Linked DNA regions of Drosophila melanogaster. The protein of the gene in region 1 interacts with the protein of each later gene in a pairwise test. Each region holds a gene or a part of one and is shown on either strand. Other genes may lie near its edges.

Region 1 (10,707 bases):
CTCAAAACGGAAGTTTGCAAGCCACCCTCGTTATTAAGCAAAAGGAATGGGGAGATTGCATGTTCCGATTCCTTGCTTGCATTCCGCTCTGAACTTTATGCAAATGCACTGTTGACACACCCACTCGCACAGAAGAACTTGTCTGGTTGAATATCTTTTGGTAGGAAACTGCATTTTCTACCTTATTTCCCCCAGCCAAAATTGGTTACAAGAGAAACCTTATTTTGGAATGCACATGATGAAAACTTAGCTAAATTCTTACAATTTTTACTAAGCCTTATACGTAAAAGGTATAAAGGGGGTCAATAGGTAAATGTACGATTATTGGCTTATAAATTATTAAAGAAGCCTGACAGACATTGACTTTTCCAAAAATCGAACAGGACATTGCGTTGTTTAGTTTTCACAAAGGCATCAAAGGGGGAAAATTTGAAGCCCCTTTAATGGCAATGTCCCTTCTTTTTACCTCCACCCAATGCTCACCTGTGCATCTCTCTATTTCCAGCGGATAACACGGCATCGGGCGCCTCGACAGCTGCACACGAAATCTTCTGGCAGTTCTGGCCATCGCAGCTCACAAAGCTCCCCATCAACAGGCAGTTGGCGGGGGCGTGGCACTGGCTATGTGGGGGCGGTGGAGCGGCTGCTCTTCTCCTTTTTTTCCTGCTGCAGCAAGGGCCGCTGGGCCATCAAATTATCAACTGTCAATACACTAAGCCGGCGACTGGCAAGGTGCAACAGCAACAACGCAACAGCGGCAGCAGCAGCAACATCGAGGTGACAGCTTCAAAAGCGGCAACATCTAGCGCATCTAGCGTCAAATGCTTTTATAATTGTCAAATGGCTATGGCGATGCCAACTCGAAGTCGTGATGATGATGATGACGGTGGTGATGCGTATATTGGCAGCACGAGTGCAAATGCAACGGCAACAGCGACAGCAACTGCCGATGCTGATGCTGCAGATGTTGCTGCTGCAGGAGGAGTTGCGAGTTGCAGCATTAAGCGGCTGTCAGCGACACTTGTGGGGGGCGTCAATGCTGTAAGGGGCGTGGCCAGTGGGCCGGATCAACGATTATTGATGACTCGGCGGCGAGAAAGGCGGCAAAAGAAATCGCAGGCGATGGATGCGATGATGCAGTCGCGTTGGAGCGCGTGCTGATGCCGAATTGATGATGAAATCCATTTTCGAAAGTAGCTTAAGGTGCTCGCCACCGTGCAAAATAGCCAGTATATGGCTCTTTTCCTTTCGCACCCGAATTGTTGAAGGGCATAATTAATATACATTCGTACTCATACTGATTGCATCAGCCAGCTGCATAAATCGATCTGGTCGTAGCTCTTAAGTGTTGAACGCATAAGGTCAGGGAAAGTGCAGTATATATTTAATTATTGGCAGAGCAAAGTCAGCAAGTAGATATTAAACCGATGAATAATAACAGGAAATGAATTAATCTTAGGTAAAATACAACATACGGTGAAACCATTAAATAAAAAGATACCCTGTACGCCGCTATCTCTCAAATCTGTTTTCGGCCTACTCACATTTTCGCAACAGAATTAAACGGAAATATATTGTGCTGTAAAACAGATCACCAATCAATCACATTACTTCCATTAACTATGTGAAACTGTTCTGTTCACTGTTAAAATTAAATATCTATTTGTCATATTTATTATTTTGTAAAAATAGTAACACATTTTATTTTCAGCTAGACACACTTTTCAGACAATAATATCAACTCAATAAGCATATATGAATGCTACAGCAAGGTATTTTCACTTTTTATTCCCGATACTTTCGAACAGATCTTTACTGTAAAAAATAAAAGATCACAATAAGCCACGACAAATGGCTCTCAGTGAAGAGAACATTAAGAGATGCGGAAAGTCAAACCAAAAATGCACAGTTGCCTGGGCACTGGGCACGTACAGGGTGAGAAAATGCGTGTGCTCAGTCACTGAAAATCAAAATGTACTTAGAATAAATACTATGTACTTCAAACTCTTATGTTATATATCAAGCGTTAAATATATTCAAATAAAAAATCAAAAAGTTATAGGAATTGTGCACAGTGTACAGCAAGCTGAACTTTAGACTGCACTTGAGCTTAGCTTTCGGGTACCGTAGTGCATTTTAAAGTGGGGTTTTGACAGCTTCAAAATTGTAAACAACCGAATATAATTTAAGTCAATACTAATACCCGTTACTTTTAGAGTAAAAGAGTGTTCTAGATTAGTGGAATCGTTTGTAACATTATAAGGTATTCATCTGAGTAACGGGTATCTTATAGTCGAGAGAATCGACTATAACTTTATTTTGTTTGTTTTCTCCTTTCAGAATGAAGAAGACATTATGTCAATGTGTAAATAAAAGCTTAAAACCAAGCACAAAATTAATATTTTGTAACATCCACTGTACAGAAAGGAACTTTTTACGGTTGTGGAAATGAAAAGCAAAATTAATTATTATAGCAAGCGTTTATTTGTAGAAAACAACGAATACATAGAGCAAATTAAAACGAAAAAGAATCTTTATTTTCAAGTCTTGTTTCGGCAATATTAAAACTCGATGAAAGCAAAAGAATTATTTGAACATTTTTGGCCAACAAAAATCCAGCGGTAAATAGTTCCTTTACCTTAAACACAATTCAATGTATGCAATGGGTAATCGTAGCCCAAAAACAAATGAAAATGTATATTAAAAAAAAATAACAATAATAAAAAATAAATGTTGAATAATTTATAAATTCAGTACATATATTTAAAGTGTAAATAAAATGATAAAACGTAATAATAAAACTTATGAAATATAAATTAATTGGTGTACATGCAAAAACAAGTAATACAAATAGATAATTATATAATAATAAACTGCATGCCGCCAGATTTTTGTAATCAAATCGTGTTGTGAAAGTTGTCTTCCCTAATTTATGCCCATTACATTAAAACATTGACAGGGGATTTTAATTTTAATTTCAGTATGGTTTCAATTATGGCCAATATATATAATAAACTATAACCATATGTATAAGAATGTAAAAAGCTAGTTTTATGTACATAAAAATGGGACAAACATTTTGATGTTACTGAATAAATATTAAAAGTATTAACCAAGAAATATGAAAGTAGGATAAAAAAACAGTGAATGTTTCCAGCTGCTAGGAAAAACGATAAGTCTTAGATCTATAAAGAGAATCAAAAACGCGGTCAAATGCATAGCACATAATATATTCATATCCCCAATAAATAACCCGAAATGTGTAAAGCCAGAATAAATGTAATAATAAGATTGAAGAAAACAAAATAGTGATGTAAAATAGCAGCAAGGAAATAAAGTAACCCCTATTCAATAACTATTGCTGACGTCTTTTACTCGTACATGTCATCATTTAATTACGTAATTTAAGTTTGGTTTATTTAAAGTTTGATTTCCGGTTGTACAAGGGTGAGCGTACTTTTAAAACCCACTGTATATAAATACTTTGGTAAAGTGCAGGTTGGGGAGTTTCAGAAGCTTGAAAAGCTCCGTTTCCCGTTATAAAGCTATTGCTGAATATCCGTTATCCAGTTGGCTGGCAGCTTTTTAAGGTTGTTCGTGCACTGGCTTCACTCCCCACAGAACACAGAGCTTTTGGATCTGAAGGTCAGTTGGGACTGGGACCCACATGCCGAGCTTAGTTTGATAGTCAGCGCGCTTTAATGACGACAACTGCACGGCGCGCACAACCCATTAATAATATATTAATTCAAAAGAGCTATAAAATATTAAAAAATATTCAAATATAACTAACTAACGCGCAGTGCACGATTTTCTGACAACAATTCAGTTTCGCTTTTCATGAGACTCCATTGCATTTTCCTTTGTGTTTTTCACACACGTGGTGTTTTTCTGTTACTCGCACTTCGATAGTGGTTATTTTTTTTGGTTACATTGAAAAAATACACCGACTGCCAGCCGAATTCCCATTCGAACCTTAATTTGACCAATTGACGGAAAATTAATTGCGCCCAAAATTAATTAGCAAGCGGATATACAATTTTTTTACGTGAAAAGAGCGTGTTATTTGTCGAAAAGATTTTACAATTGATTGTGTTTAAGTAAATTAACCTGCGATATCTATGTGTATGTGCTACGATCCGAATTTCTGACATTACGGTAAGTGGCGTGTTTTTGGCGGGAATAAAGTCGGTTTCTCTTTGTGCCGTATTTCTCTACCGTTTTTTCTGGCGCCAAAATGAATGAAAACGGTTGGCAACATTTCAAACTTAACATTGCAACATTCTAACCGCTGTTAAGCGTTTGCTCTGCAAATTGTTGTAGCTATGTTGGAGTTCTGGAACACCACCTCTCCCTGCGACTTTGTTTTGTTTTTCGCTCTCGACATATGGAATCGAATCTCTTATTCCGGGAGCGGTTCATTGACCCAGCAACAACAATATTCGCCAGATTTTCTCCTGCCAGCGATTTGCGGAATTCATCCGCTCAACAGTTAGAAGTAAATGCCGTCGAGCAGCGGGCAAAATCGATCGACGAAATCGAGAGCCGCGTTCAGTTGCCTTCAAGCCGTACTTAGAAGAAGTGCTGGTCCCCCAGAAATCAGAGAGATTTTTCCCAACTTGCATTTTTCCAATACTCTGACAAAGCCCCTCAGACCGTCGCAATCACACAGCTATATACTGATATATAGATCTCTATTGCGCAGATCACACCTTAAATGCCTTTCGTCGAGAGATTTCAACAAATACGTAATTTTGTTATGAACGTCTGCCTCGTCGAGGCCATCCAATTCGTCCAGGACCTCTCGCACGCCATCTGTCTGGACCTCCAGGGCCTATTTAATCTCAAGTAGAGATCACCGAGCGATCTCCCAGCGGTAAGTTACGCCATTGGTTTTTGGGCACAAGGAAGTGAAAGTGAAGACACGGGTGAAATTACGGTTTTCGGGATCTCGAGAGAAAGGGGAAAGTACGAACCTCATGGCAGCAGCACTCCATTTTGAGAGGTTATGTGAAAGAACACACAAGAAAGTTTGGAATTTTCGACAGGCGGCGAACCAATAATAATGTTGTTATCCATAATAATATTAATTAGTGAATTTTTATTTCACCTTTTCGCGGCATTATTCTCACAAATTTATAAGACAGATTTTCAAATTAAGACAGAAAGTTTTTTAATGTTAGTGAAAAGTACTTATTCCAGTTGATAGTTAAATACTATTTACCGCAAAAAATTAAAAGAGAACTAAATTTAAAGGTAAAATCGTTTTTTTTTTTGGAAAGTGCATTGCTTAAATTATGGTACCGACTATCAAAATAAAAATAATTAATTTTTATATGGTGTTTCAATATTCACTTTAAATTACCTATGACTCGCTTTCTAACCACTCTCTTCTTATTACGAACATCAATTTTCTTGTTACATCATTTCGGACCTTTCATTTTTCATCACCAGCTCATCCCATCAATTCAGATACACTTTACTTCATTAAGTAGCAGCAATCATCTAACAAAGCTGACCAAACAACGGACCGGCTTCCAGAATCCTTAACTGAGACGGACGTTTTGCTTGGTTTTTAAAACTAAACGACTTTTTGGTACCCACACCTGTTGACCTCTGACGAATTTCTCGATCCACTGACCGATCCACTGATCCAGTGATCATCATCATCATCCGAATTCCACAATGTTGTCCTGTGCCTCTTTCAATAAACTGATGTATCCGTCGGCCGCAGATGTTGCCAAACCGCCAATGGTGGGCTTGGAGGTGGAAGCTGGATCCATTGGATCCCTGTCCAGTCTTCACGCCCTTCCATCGACCACCTCGGTGGGCAGTGGAGCCCCCAGCGAGACGCAGAGCGAGATCTCCTCCGTGGATAGCGATTGGAGTGACATACGCGCCATCGCCATGAAGTTGGGCGTTCAAAACCCAGACGATCTCCACACGGAACGTTTCAAGGTGGATCGACAGAAATTGGAACAGTTAATAAAAGGTAATGCCTTTATATATAAAAATAATAGATTCCTTATTATACATTGCCTTTTTTCTGATAGCGGAGAGCTCCATTGAGGGAATGAATGGAGCTGAATATTTTTTCCATGACGTGAGTACATATTTTTAAGTTTTGGGCACCTATTAGCTTCACACTTTCTTTTGTCTCATTTTGAGACACAGAATGCCATGCCTTATAAATATTGAACATATAATAATATGTTTCCTATTCAATAGTATATTAAGTTATTTAGTTTTTGAGCAAAATTTTTAAGTTAATTGATTCATGTCTTTGTTTGGCAATCTGACTTTGCATCTATAAAATTTCAGTGTATAACCCAATTTGTTTTAAGATACTGTTAGGACCGACTCTTTTGACTTGATATAAAAGAATTCGCCATATATCCAAAACATATTCTTTTACTAGATCATGAACACTACGGATACTTATGTGAGCTGGCCTTGCAGACTCAAAATTGGTGCCAAGAGCAAGAAGGGTAGGATATTGAAATATTTTCAATGTTCAAGAGTATTTTTCAAATAAATCCCATAATTTAAAGATCCCCATGTGCGAATTGTGGGAAAGGTGGATCAGGTTCAGCGGGCAAAGGAGCGCATCCTTAGCAGTCTTGACTCCAGGGTGAGTGAGCCAAAGCATAATACAAACTTATCTGTTTTAATTGTTACCCATTTTTCTCCGAACAGGGCACTCGAGTGATCATGAAAATGGACGTCAGCTACACGGATCACTCGTACATCATCGGACGAGGTGGCAACAACATCAAGCGCATAATGGACGACACGCATACCCATATCCACTTCCCCGACTCGAATCGCTCCAATCCCACGGAGAAATCCAACCAGGTGTCGCTGTGCGGCAGCCTAGAGGGCGTGGAGCGAGCCCGGGCTCTCGTTCGGCTCTCCACACCGCTGCTCATCTCCTTCGAGATGCCCGTAATGGGACCCAACAAGCCGCAGCCCGACCACGAGACTCCCTACATCAAGATGATCGAGACCAAGTTCAATGTTCAGGTGAGTTCCAGATGTCGGAGTCAACTAAGTGTAAGATTATAAATTAATTATAAATTAATCATGGCATGTTACCAAATATTATTTGCATTTGACTATAATGGCTTGATTAGTTTAACTAATTTAGGTAAGATTTTGTAATATACATTCATACATACATTTAAGAGGGGGTATAGAAAATGTCAAATTTTTTTTTCCCAACCCTTGAGAGTTGTGATTATATATTGCTCCATTATAATTTTATCAACTGATGTTACATTAGGCTAATTTTGCAGTTGTGTTATTATTATATATTTTTAAGTGATTTAGAACGCATTTAAAGTAATAAAGTTACTTAAACGTTATTTTCGAATTTGGCAACCTTAAATTACAACCAAGGATTTTTGTAAACAGTTTTTTCGTTGCTCTTAATTATTATTGAATATATTTTAAAGATTTTTCCTCCTTTCAGGTCATATTCTCCACGCGTCCAAAATTGCATACCTCGCTGGTTTTGGTCAAGGGATCCGAGAAGGAATCGGCGCAGGTCCGAGATGCCACGCAGCTGCTGATCAACTTCGCCTGTGAGAGTATTGCGGTAGGTTCGAGAAGGATAACTCAAAATAAGGCTCATCAGCGAATCCTTTTTCCTTTTTAGAGCCAAATCCTGGTGAATGTCCAGATGGAGATCTCGCCGCAGCATCACGAAATCGTCAAGGGCAAGAACAACGTGAATCTGCTGAGCATTATGGAGCGAACCCAGACCAAGATCATATTCCCCGATCTGAGCGACATGAACGTGAAGCCCCTGAAGAAGTCCCAGGTCACGATCAGCGGACGCATCGACGACGTCTACTTGGCGCGACAACAATTGCTTGGCAATTTGCCCGTAGCATTGATTTTTGACTTTCCGGACAACCACAACGATGCATCCGAAATAATGAGCCTCAACACCAAGTACGGCGTCTACATCACGTTGCGCCAGAAACAGCGGCAGAGCACCCTGGCCATTGTGGTCAAGGGAGTGGAGAAGTTTATAGGTAAGATCTCTAAAGCAATGTGTAAAGTGTATGATTTTCGTTGATTCTGCATTAATATACGATTGCACTTTCCATTATTGTTTGATTTTTATCCCATATTTTCCTTACTTTTTAGATATATTATACAATTTAAGATATTTAGCAAGTGCTGAATTAAATTTCCGTATTAATCCGTTGTTGTCACCCTCCTTAGACAAAATCTACGAGGCCCGCCAGGAGATCCTGCGCCTGGCCACGCCATTCGTGAAGCCCGAGATCCCCGACTACTACTTCATGCCAAAGGACAAAGACCTTAATCTCGCCTACCGCACCCAGTTAACTGCTCTGCTGGCTGGGTATGTGGACAGCCCGAAGACTCCATCGCTGCTGCCGCCCTCCTTGGCTGGCCAACTGACGCCCTATGCCAACAACAATCACCTGTTGTTGAACGCCAATGGCTTGGCCACGCCCACTGGGGTGTGTGCGCCCACCCAAAAATATATGCAGTTGCACAACAGCTTCCAACAGGCTCAGAATCGTTCCATGGTGGCTGGTGGGCAGAGCAACAATGGCAACTATCTGCAGGTTCCTGGAGCGGTGGCGCCGCCTCTCAAACCGCCGACTGTTTCGCCACGGAACAGCTGCAGTCAGAATACCAGTGGTTACCAGAGCTTTAGCAGCAGCACCACCTCCCTGGAGCAGTCGTATCCGCCGTATGCCCAATTGCCGGGCACCGTGTCGTCCACTTCATCCTCCACCGCGGGAAGCCAAAATCGGGCGCATTATTCGCCAGATTCCACTTACGGCAGTGAGGGTGGTGGCGTTGGCGGCGGAGGTGGTGGTGGGGCGCGTCTGGGACGACGCCTTAGCGATGGAGTGCTGCTGGGGCTGAGTAATTCCAACGGTGGAGGAGGTAACTCCGGAGGAGCCCACCTCCTGCCCGGCAGTGCCGAGAGCTATCGGAGTTTGCACTATGACCTTGGAGGAAACAAGCACTCCGGCCACCGTGCCTTTGACTTCGACATGAAACGGGCCCTGGGCTACAAAGCCATGGAGCGCACCCCGGTGGCAGGGGAGCTGCGAACACCCACGACCGCTTGGATGGGAATGGGCTTGAGCAGCACCTCGCCCGCCCCTGCCCCGCTGGAGAACGGGGAAAATGGGGCTGCTGGTGGAGGAGCATCTAGTGGGTGGCGGCTGCCACCAGGACTGGGTTCCCCTTACGGACTGAGTGCCACCACCGGACTCCTGGACGCCACTCCAGTCAACCGACGGATGCAGCTAGCCAAGCACAAGGACATCCAGACTCTGCTCACCAGTTTGGGTCTGGAGCACTACATCAGTGAGTAGCTCCGCCGATCATGTCCGTTTTTACCAACTGTGTACTAGAAGTCTTTTATAAAGCTATCATATATGTCTGGCTTGAACTGGAGAGTGTTTTATTTAACGCAAACGTTTTTTCACAGTCATAGATAAAGTTACATAAAGTTCAACATCCATATAGCATTTAAAATCAAACTATTTTATATTTACAACCTGGGAAAACTACAGTTTTTATTTCTCCTTTCAGAAATATTCGTTCTAAACGAAATCGACCTGGAGGTGTTCACCACCCTGACCGAGGAAAACCTGATGGAGCTGGGTATCGCGGCGTTTGGAGCTCGCAAGAAGCTGCTGACGGCCATTCACACGCTGCTGGCCAACGAGGCGGCCTGCAGCACAATGCCCAGCAGCAGCTCCTCGCAGAACTCCTCGTCGCCGCGATTCTCCGGAAGTGCGGCCCCAGGCGCAGAGCGCCGTCCCTCCAACCAGTGGTGATCCGCTCCTGTCGTTCGACCCCATTGCCTCGAATTCTTTTTTTCTTTTTTTTTTTGCATGCCCATTTATTTGGTAGTCGTAAGATCAAGAGAATCGGAACGGTAAAAAGTATAGGAAGAAGTCAGGAAGAAAATGGCAACTCCCTGGGCGAATAGCTTTCCCGCACAACACAGCCTTGACCTTGACTTATACTCGCATTTGTACTCAAATTCCAAGTAGCATAGCTGCGCTCGGGAAAGTGCACAGTTTTCCCAGTGTGCCAATAGGTCGTAGTTGCCTTTATTTTAAGCGATTAATTTATTTTGAAATTATTTATATAGGAAACCGTCTTAAGCAAAAAAAAAAAATATTGTGAATTATTTATGAAATCTAACTAAACGAAATCACTTGTTGTAAGAAATGAATTTATGTAAACTAACTGAAAAAGAAAAAAAAATTAAAAACAAAAGCACAGCATGTATTAAGTGATAAGCAAAATAGTCACGCACAAACATTTGATATGAATAAATTGATGTCTATGAAAAATCAACTAAATATATTTTTTAGTAGATTATTAGATTAATATGATTTGCTTAATTTTGTAGAAACATTTGTAATATATGTACATTAAGTCGTTGCCGCTTTGAACTCTTTTAGCCTGGTTGGAATAGAGGTTAATGACTTTATTGTCTCCAGTTGTCTGCATAATTTGTATTGCCTCGCCTCGTGCCAAGAAGTCTTGCAAAGCAACAAAATCGAATGTGTGTCCTTACACGAACTAAACGGGCGGCAAAAGGGGCGTGGCTGAGCTAATGAACTGGAAATGTTTTGCTCCAGTTGCCGGTGGTTGCTACCGTGTTGCATCAGCATAATTGCAAATTTTTATGATTAT
Region 2 (6,581 bases), on another chromosome or scaffold:
ATCTGCGTAGCTTCTTTCAGTTCTACGATGTGCCCATCAACAGACGCCATCACATGTGCGTCTCGCTGGCGTTCGAAATCATGGCCAGGATGGTGCAGATGTTCCCGGTGCTGGCCAACTACTTGTACGTTGTGTCCTGCGAGGAGCAGGTGATGGACTGCAACGACTACGTTCAGTTGGACGAGGAGTGCGGCCTTAATTCGGTGGACGCGGGTGTGGAGAAGGAGCACGTCATGGTCGCCATGCGCATCGCCATCGGCGATCGACGGGGTGTGATGATCCTGGACCCAGGTTACCATGTCAGCCGAGCGGTGACTGTTATGCAGGATCAGAGCTATCCGCACACTGGTGAGTTGTAATCTCCGCTTAGCCTATTGTAATACATATATACTGATGGATGCAATATGTTTCTAGGCTGGTTCACCCAATCCAAGGAGCCGCATCTGCAGCGTGATTATTGCTATGCCTACAGTCAGCAGAATGGGAAATTCGTGGAGTGGAAGGAGCGCGAGATCCGTGGCGAGGATACCAGCTACAAGACATCGCTGATCTACGTGGCCCAAGAGTACATCACGGCCATCGACGTGACCGTGCGCCGCAATCTGGTGTACAACTTCCGATCGCTACTCTCCCGCGATGCCAAGGGTCAGGTCTATGCGGGCATCTACTTCCCGCTGGTGGCCAATGGGCAGGAGGCCTACCTCACCATCTTCTACGACGGACCCAATGAGCAGCGAGTGCGGACGAAGCTGATGTTCAGCGCGTTTAAAGTGGGCAAGGGAAAGGTAAGGATCACTGATAGCTATAGCCAATGGTTACCCATTACTAACCCAGTTATTATCACCCATCAGCTGCCGGACTATGTGGGTCAACATCTTAGCAGGCTGGCGCCGCAATTGAAGATACCGCTGCCGGAATTGACCGAACTGTGCAAATCCCTGGCCGAGGTGGTCACCGACCAGAGCTTCATCAGCCAGGTGCTGGCCATAAACGATGACATCGGCAACATGTCCGTGGAGAATTGACAGTTAAAGGAGCCTAAGGATGTCGCTGCTACGGAAACGGAAACGAAGATGGAGGAACAGGCGATAAAAGACATTGACAACGCAGCTGCAACTTAGAGTTCCGAACCTATTTGAATACTTTGAATACTTTGTCCTTTCCACAGTAATATTCTTTTTAGTAGCATATAGGCACCTCTTACACCAGCACACACGATTCAAGTATATATTCAATTTAGTCTAGTATATATTTCAAAATATTTATTCACCTATAAACACGACAACACGCTCTATATGGTAATCCCAACTGAATTATTTAATCGAAAGCGAAACGAAATTTTATTCAAAATATTTAAAAGAAATGCGCAAAGTTTAGACTTCAATGTTTCGCTTAGGTTCTTCTAATTTCAAACTATATATATACTTATGCGCAACTATATAATGGCAAAATTAGTTATAACTGGTATCAAGGCAAAACATAAATTGTAATTGTTGTACGAACATATTTCCGTTTAAACACTTAAATGCACTGTACTATTTCGGTTCAATAAATAAATCAGCTAGCAAAAGAAAGAAGGTATTTTGTTGGGAGACTTAAAACATAATTTTACTTGAACTTTAACTAACATGAAAAGATTAAAGGTGTATTATTGCCTTAAATTTGAATTTCGATATTTTTATGGCAGTGATATCGATTAGTTTGGTAACAGTAGCTTAACATAGAATAGACATGTTACTGTTAATAAGCTTAGCTCAACATTTAGGTATTTTTTGCACACGCAAACTCTGTTTCTCTGTAATAAAAACATTTGTTTAAAAACCTCAGGTTTCTTATGATTTACAAATGAATAAGGACAAAATAAAGAAAAATGCATACTGACGGCAGATATCGATGATTACATCAACAATCGATATTTTGAAACAGAGAAAGTGCAGCCCTGGTGCCATCGATGTATATCCACCTTGGATTTTCGCTTGTCTGCAGTTATTTCAATTAAGTTGTTTCAAATCAGCGTTTTTGTGAGTGCACACTAAGGTAACAACACGCCGACCGACCCGCTTAACCATTGCATAACCACGTAATTGTACAATATCAGCTGTTTTTCTGCGTGATCAGCCGGCAAGTGGGTAAAATTCACCTGTTGACCAGCGGCAATAAGCCAAAACAAAACAACAACAATCGTGGATCAAGTTCTTGGCGGAAAGGCGCGCAATTAAAACCTAACGTTCAGTTCGCTTTTGAATTTCTCGCCGAGCGGTTGTGGCGAAAATAAGGGCCCGCTGGAAAAACCGGTTTTCAAACACCAGCGATTGATCCTCTTCGAAAACGTGAAAGAAAACAAAAAGACGAGGAAGCGCCGCCGCAGCCTTTAATTGAAAAAAAGGGTGTCAATATTAGCATAGAAATCGAGGCACAGGTGCATTTTCGTCTGCGTCAGCCAAATTGAAGGTAAAATTGAAAAGCCCTCTGCAAGGGCAACAACAATAGAAAAAGAAAGTTAACCATATGCAGCCAAATTAAAAACGACCGCGGCAACAACAGTAAAACTGCTAAGCTTTTGCGTTTTGTTGACGGAAGTCGAAACTCTTGACAGCACGTTCGTGGTGTCATGCGTACACACAGAAAAAATGGAATTACTTTATGTGAAAAATGAAAAATTCATACAAAACCTATTTCTAATTTGTAGTGAAGTTCTTATCTTTTAAGTGCAATCTATTATAAAAGATAAAGCAATTAAGAGAATTTCAAACAACCTTCACTCAAGAAAAATAATTCTATTTCCTTAACTTTCTTAAAATGGAAAACCATTCTGCGCAGTACAATTTGTAAATATTTTTATATTTTACACCAATACTAAAGAGTTTTTCGCAGTGTACTATGCTAGGTCGTCCGTACAGATATTTCCCCGCTGCCCCCGCAAGAAGAGCCCAAAGAAACCGACCCTAGTTGTTGCTGTTTAGCGCCTCAGTCATTTTCAGCTCTGGCCCCAAATTCACTATTTTGGCCCCGTTTATTGGCTTTGGCTCGAAGCTCGGCTCTTCAACTTTCATTCCGCCGCTGTTTGGGTTTTTAATTAGCATTTTACGAGCACACCTAAGCCAGTTCTCTCGCTGTCTCCCAATAAACGCGCTCAACTATCTTCTGTCTAATTAATTTAATTGTTTCCCCGCCCGATTAAAAATTAAGATTCCAGTGCAGCGCTCAAAGTGCAGGTGGCAAATATGCACTGCAAATATCGGTGGCCAAACAATCGCGTTAGCTTTATAAGCCCGGCTAACCAACGCTGGAAATTGCTGGGCAAATAAGAAAAAACTGAGGGAAAGAGGCAACAACTCAAGCTATTCGACGGCCAATGGGGTCAAGTCGATTTCAGAACACGCTCTCTGATAAATATCATTAAAAAGTTTATTAATTATTAGACTTCTATCCCCAAAAATGGGGTTTCCTGGTGAAAATTCTGAGATTTCAAACATCATTCTTGTTACTCTGTCGAATTAGGATTAGTGCGTTAAAACAGCACTTTTGTAAAAGCCTTTTTAATTGATAGCAAAGATCATTCTACAAAAAGTTCGAGCTTTATAATTAAACCACATTTTTAAGTGATTAGTTACTCTCTACTGTTACGCCAACTTGATAGTATAAAGGCATGATAATTGTAGAAGCTCGACTATTCGCAGCTGAATCGTGACACGAATCAATCTCTGGCAAGTATATATGGCCAACACACCTAGAATTCCAAACGAATATGGCCAACAGATGTACCCGCTGGCACTCGGATCGCGAAATCTTGCTGACTCAGTTGAAGAGTTTCGCAAAGTGCACTCGAGGCGAATTTACCCGCCAATATTGATAATGTTGCCGGCTAATGGCTAATGTCTGTGACGAACCAGGATCGGTTTTCGTTATCAGCCGGCGCACTTTGCCCGATTTCTTATCAAAACCCGTATTCCCTTTGCAGAGTTCCGGAGAGACGGCGATCCGATCCGATAAGAGCGTATAATGTTGGGAACTTTGCTGTGGATTTTCTTCGTCGGCCTGCTGCTGTGTGCGTTCCTCTTTTCGAAGACCACCAAGGAGTTCCCGAAGTCCTGGTTCGAGTGGAAGACTGAGTTTCGGTATCAGTACCTGGGAATCGTTGGGCTCGTCCACGATGCCCAGTATAAGGCACGGGATCGAGTGGGTAAGTCAATTTGCTAGCCGATGCTTATTCCACGATCACTAATTGTTGCCATTATCCATTAAGCACTTTATAAACAACCGGACCGCATTGCTGTCATCACCGGAGGCAATCGCGGCATCGGACTGCGGATCGTGGAGAAGCTGCTGGCCTGCGACATGACTGTCGTCATGGGTGAGTTGACCAATCTCCGCCCAACAACTTGTTTCAGGCCTATTCCTATCCATAAGTCGGCGATCTGCTTATGAATTCCACAAACATTTAACCGTGCTGCAAGTGCACGTGCTCGGCAAGCTAAAATCGAACATCGAATAAACGATCGTCGAAATGCAGATCCATTCCCACCCTTGTCAATGCGATACAGAAATCATGACCCATTCTCCTGATTTCATTATCTAACCAAGTCGCGTAAAAGTCTCGATTTTCGGGAAAGACAAGCGATAAGAGTTCATTGACTGGTCGGAGAAAAGAATTCTAAATTTCAATGAAAAGGGTCACAGTTATCAATAATTATTTTGTATTTTCTCGTTAACATTTTTGAAAATGGCATTTTTTGTTGCTTTTCCAATTTCTTGCTTTAATACGTTTACTTACAATTTCACTGCATATTTTAGTCTCTAAGAAAATTCATTTATTAAGAAATCATTTTTTTTTTTAAATATATTTAATTTTATTGTTAGTGCTAGTTAAAATAATAAACATTTTAATCATTTAACAGTCAACTGTTATTTTCTACATTGAACTTATGTAAAATGTATAGATGTAAAAACCAGAGCTTGAAGTGCGCTATACAGGCGCTAGGTGTCGCTTATATTGCTTATATTTTGTGTAAAATAGGGTAGATTAGAAAACACTCATAAAAAAGTGTTTTAAAGGATATTTATTAATTAAGTTCTGTCCTCTCAGCAATTTTTGTCAGTGGCTCACTTTAATTTATGCATTTATTGCAGGCGTTCGTGATCCCAAAATTGCCGAAACCGCAGTTGCATCGATAGTCGACTTGAATGCTACCAAGGGCAAGCTCATCTGCGAGCAACTGGATGTTGGGGATCTGAAATCCGTAAAGGCATTTGCTCAGCTCATCAAGGAGCGGTATTCAAAAGTGGATTTGTTGCTGAACAATGCTGGCATCATGTTTGCGCCCTTCAAACTAACCGCCGATGGCTACGAGTCGCACTTTGCCATCAACTTCCTGGGACACTTTCTGCTCACCCACCTGCTTCTGCCTCAATTGAGGGCGGCAGGCAAGGAGGGAAGGAACTCCAGGATCGTGAACGTCAGCTCCTGCGTGAATCTCATTGGACGCATCAACTATAAGGACATTAACGGAACGTACGTTTGAGTAATTGTCGCCTAAGTTCCTTATTTACTAGGTTTTACTGCTTGCAGAAAACACTATTACCCGGGAACCGCCTACAGTCAGTCAAAGCTTGCTCAGATCTTGTTCACCCGCCATCTGCAGACACTGCTGGATGCAGAAAAGTCGCACGTGCAGGTCAATGTGGTGCATCCGGGCATTGTGGACACGGATCTGTTCGAGCACTCGGCCACCACATCGGTGCCCATTTTCAAGAAGCTATTCTTCAAGACTCCGGAAAGGGGATCCCGCACGGTGGTCTTCGCGGCCATTGATCCCTCCATCGAGGGTCAGGGTGGTACTTACCTCTCCAACGGCGGAAAGGGTCCTTTCCATCCGGATGCCAAGAAGCCGGCAAAGTGCGAGCAGCTTTTCCAGTTCTCCTGCGACCTGTTGAAAATCCAGCAGTACGGAAATGGCGAATACTAAATGAACTCCACACTCAGTCTATCTCACATTCCTCCTACTGGTGCAACGTACTTTTCTAGATACCGTCAGCTTTTTTGTAAATCGATTTCTTTTGTATAAAAACATTTTTATATAGAACTGCAGCTGGTGTTTTGTGTTCAGGATCTGCTGATGCTAATCTGGTCAAATTGCTGTGCTAGGTTTTAATTAACTTGTCTGCGCTTGATTGCCATCGTGGGGCTAGGGAATGCAATTAAAAGAGCTGCAAGAAACATTTATTTGAAAATGCACTCAGCAGTTGGCGGCGGCAGCTTGAAAGGTGACAACAACAACAACAACCACGTCATATCTGCTGTATGTCAAATTTTCGAAAAAGCAAACAATTTAATTTTGTGCGCCTCCTCAAACAATGAGCGATTAACATTCAACATTTTGGAGGAATTTTAATCGACTTCAGTTAAGGGGACAGGAGTATGGGGGTTCCAGGAGAGCGGTACGGAGACGGAGGAACTCAGGTAGGTAGGTGTATCATCTCGAAAAACAACTGCGAAGCAACTACAACTCGACTGTCACTTAAGCGAACTGAACGCTTAAAAGCGAACGACATGATGGCTGCAAAAAAAAAAACAATCTCAT

The links. The genes of interacting proteins can lie anywhere in the genome.
Region 2: the proteins of BicC (region 1) and CG11200 interact in a two-hybrid assay, tested with the Drosophila melanogaster proteins (one large-scale study listed by BioGRID).

The regions. Positions count from the first base shown.
Region 1 is NT_033779.5:16,038,370-16,049,076, forward strand, and holds BicC (bicaudal C), read left to right. Parts: upstream 1-3,677; 5' UTR 3,678-4,158; intron 4,159-4,547; exon of another isoform or gene 4,548-4,705; 5' UTR 4,706-4,717; coding exon of another isoform or gene 4,718-4,852; 5' UTR 4,853-4,876; intron 4,877-5,454; 5' UTR 5,455-5,685; coding exon 5,686-5,992; intron 5,993-6,053; coding exon 6,054-6,103; intron 6,104-6,182; exon of another isoform or gene 6,183-6,418; coding exon 6,419-6,488; intron 6,489-6,551; coding exon 6,552-6,631; intron 6,632-6,696; coding exon 6,697-7,023; intron 7,024-7,471; coding exon 7,472-7,597; intron 7,598-7,657; coding exon 7,658-8,039; intron 8,040-8,232; coding exon 8,233-9,360; intron 9,361-9,588; coding exon 9,589-9,836; 3' UTR 9,837-10,257; downstream 10,258-10,707. Other genes in the region: beat-Ic (beaten path Ic), read left to right, coding at 506-1,161; CG45084 (uncharacterized protein), read left to right, coding at 4,718-4,852. UniProt on the Drosophila melanogaster protein: RNA-binding protein that is involved in oogenesis. Required for correct targeting of the migrating anterior follicle cells and the establishment of anterior-posterior polarity in the oocyte. May act as translational repressor of oskar during oogenesis.
Region 2 is NT_033778.4:20,304,017-20,310,597, reverse strand, and holds CG11200 (uncharacterized protein), read left to right. Parts: upstream 1-1,926; 5' UTR 1,927-2,037; intron 2,038-2,098; 5' UTR 2,099-2,451; intron 2,452-3,961; 5' UTR 3,962-4,002; coding exon 4,003-4,183; intron 4,184-4,246; coding exon 4,247-4,354; intron 4,355-5,130; coding exon 5,131-5,512; intron 5,513-5,569; coding exon 5,570-5,966; 3' UTR 5,967-6,081; downstream 6,082-6,581. Other genes in the region: CG13868 (uncharacterized protein), read left to right, coding at 1-348, 415-785, 852-1,025.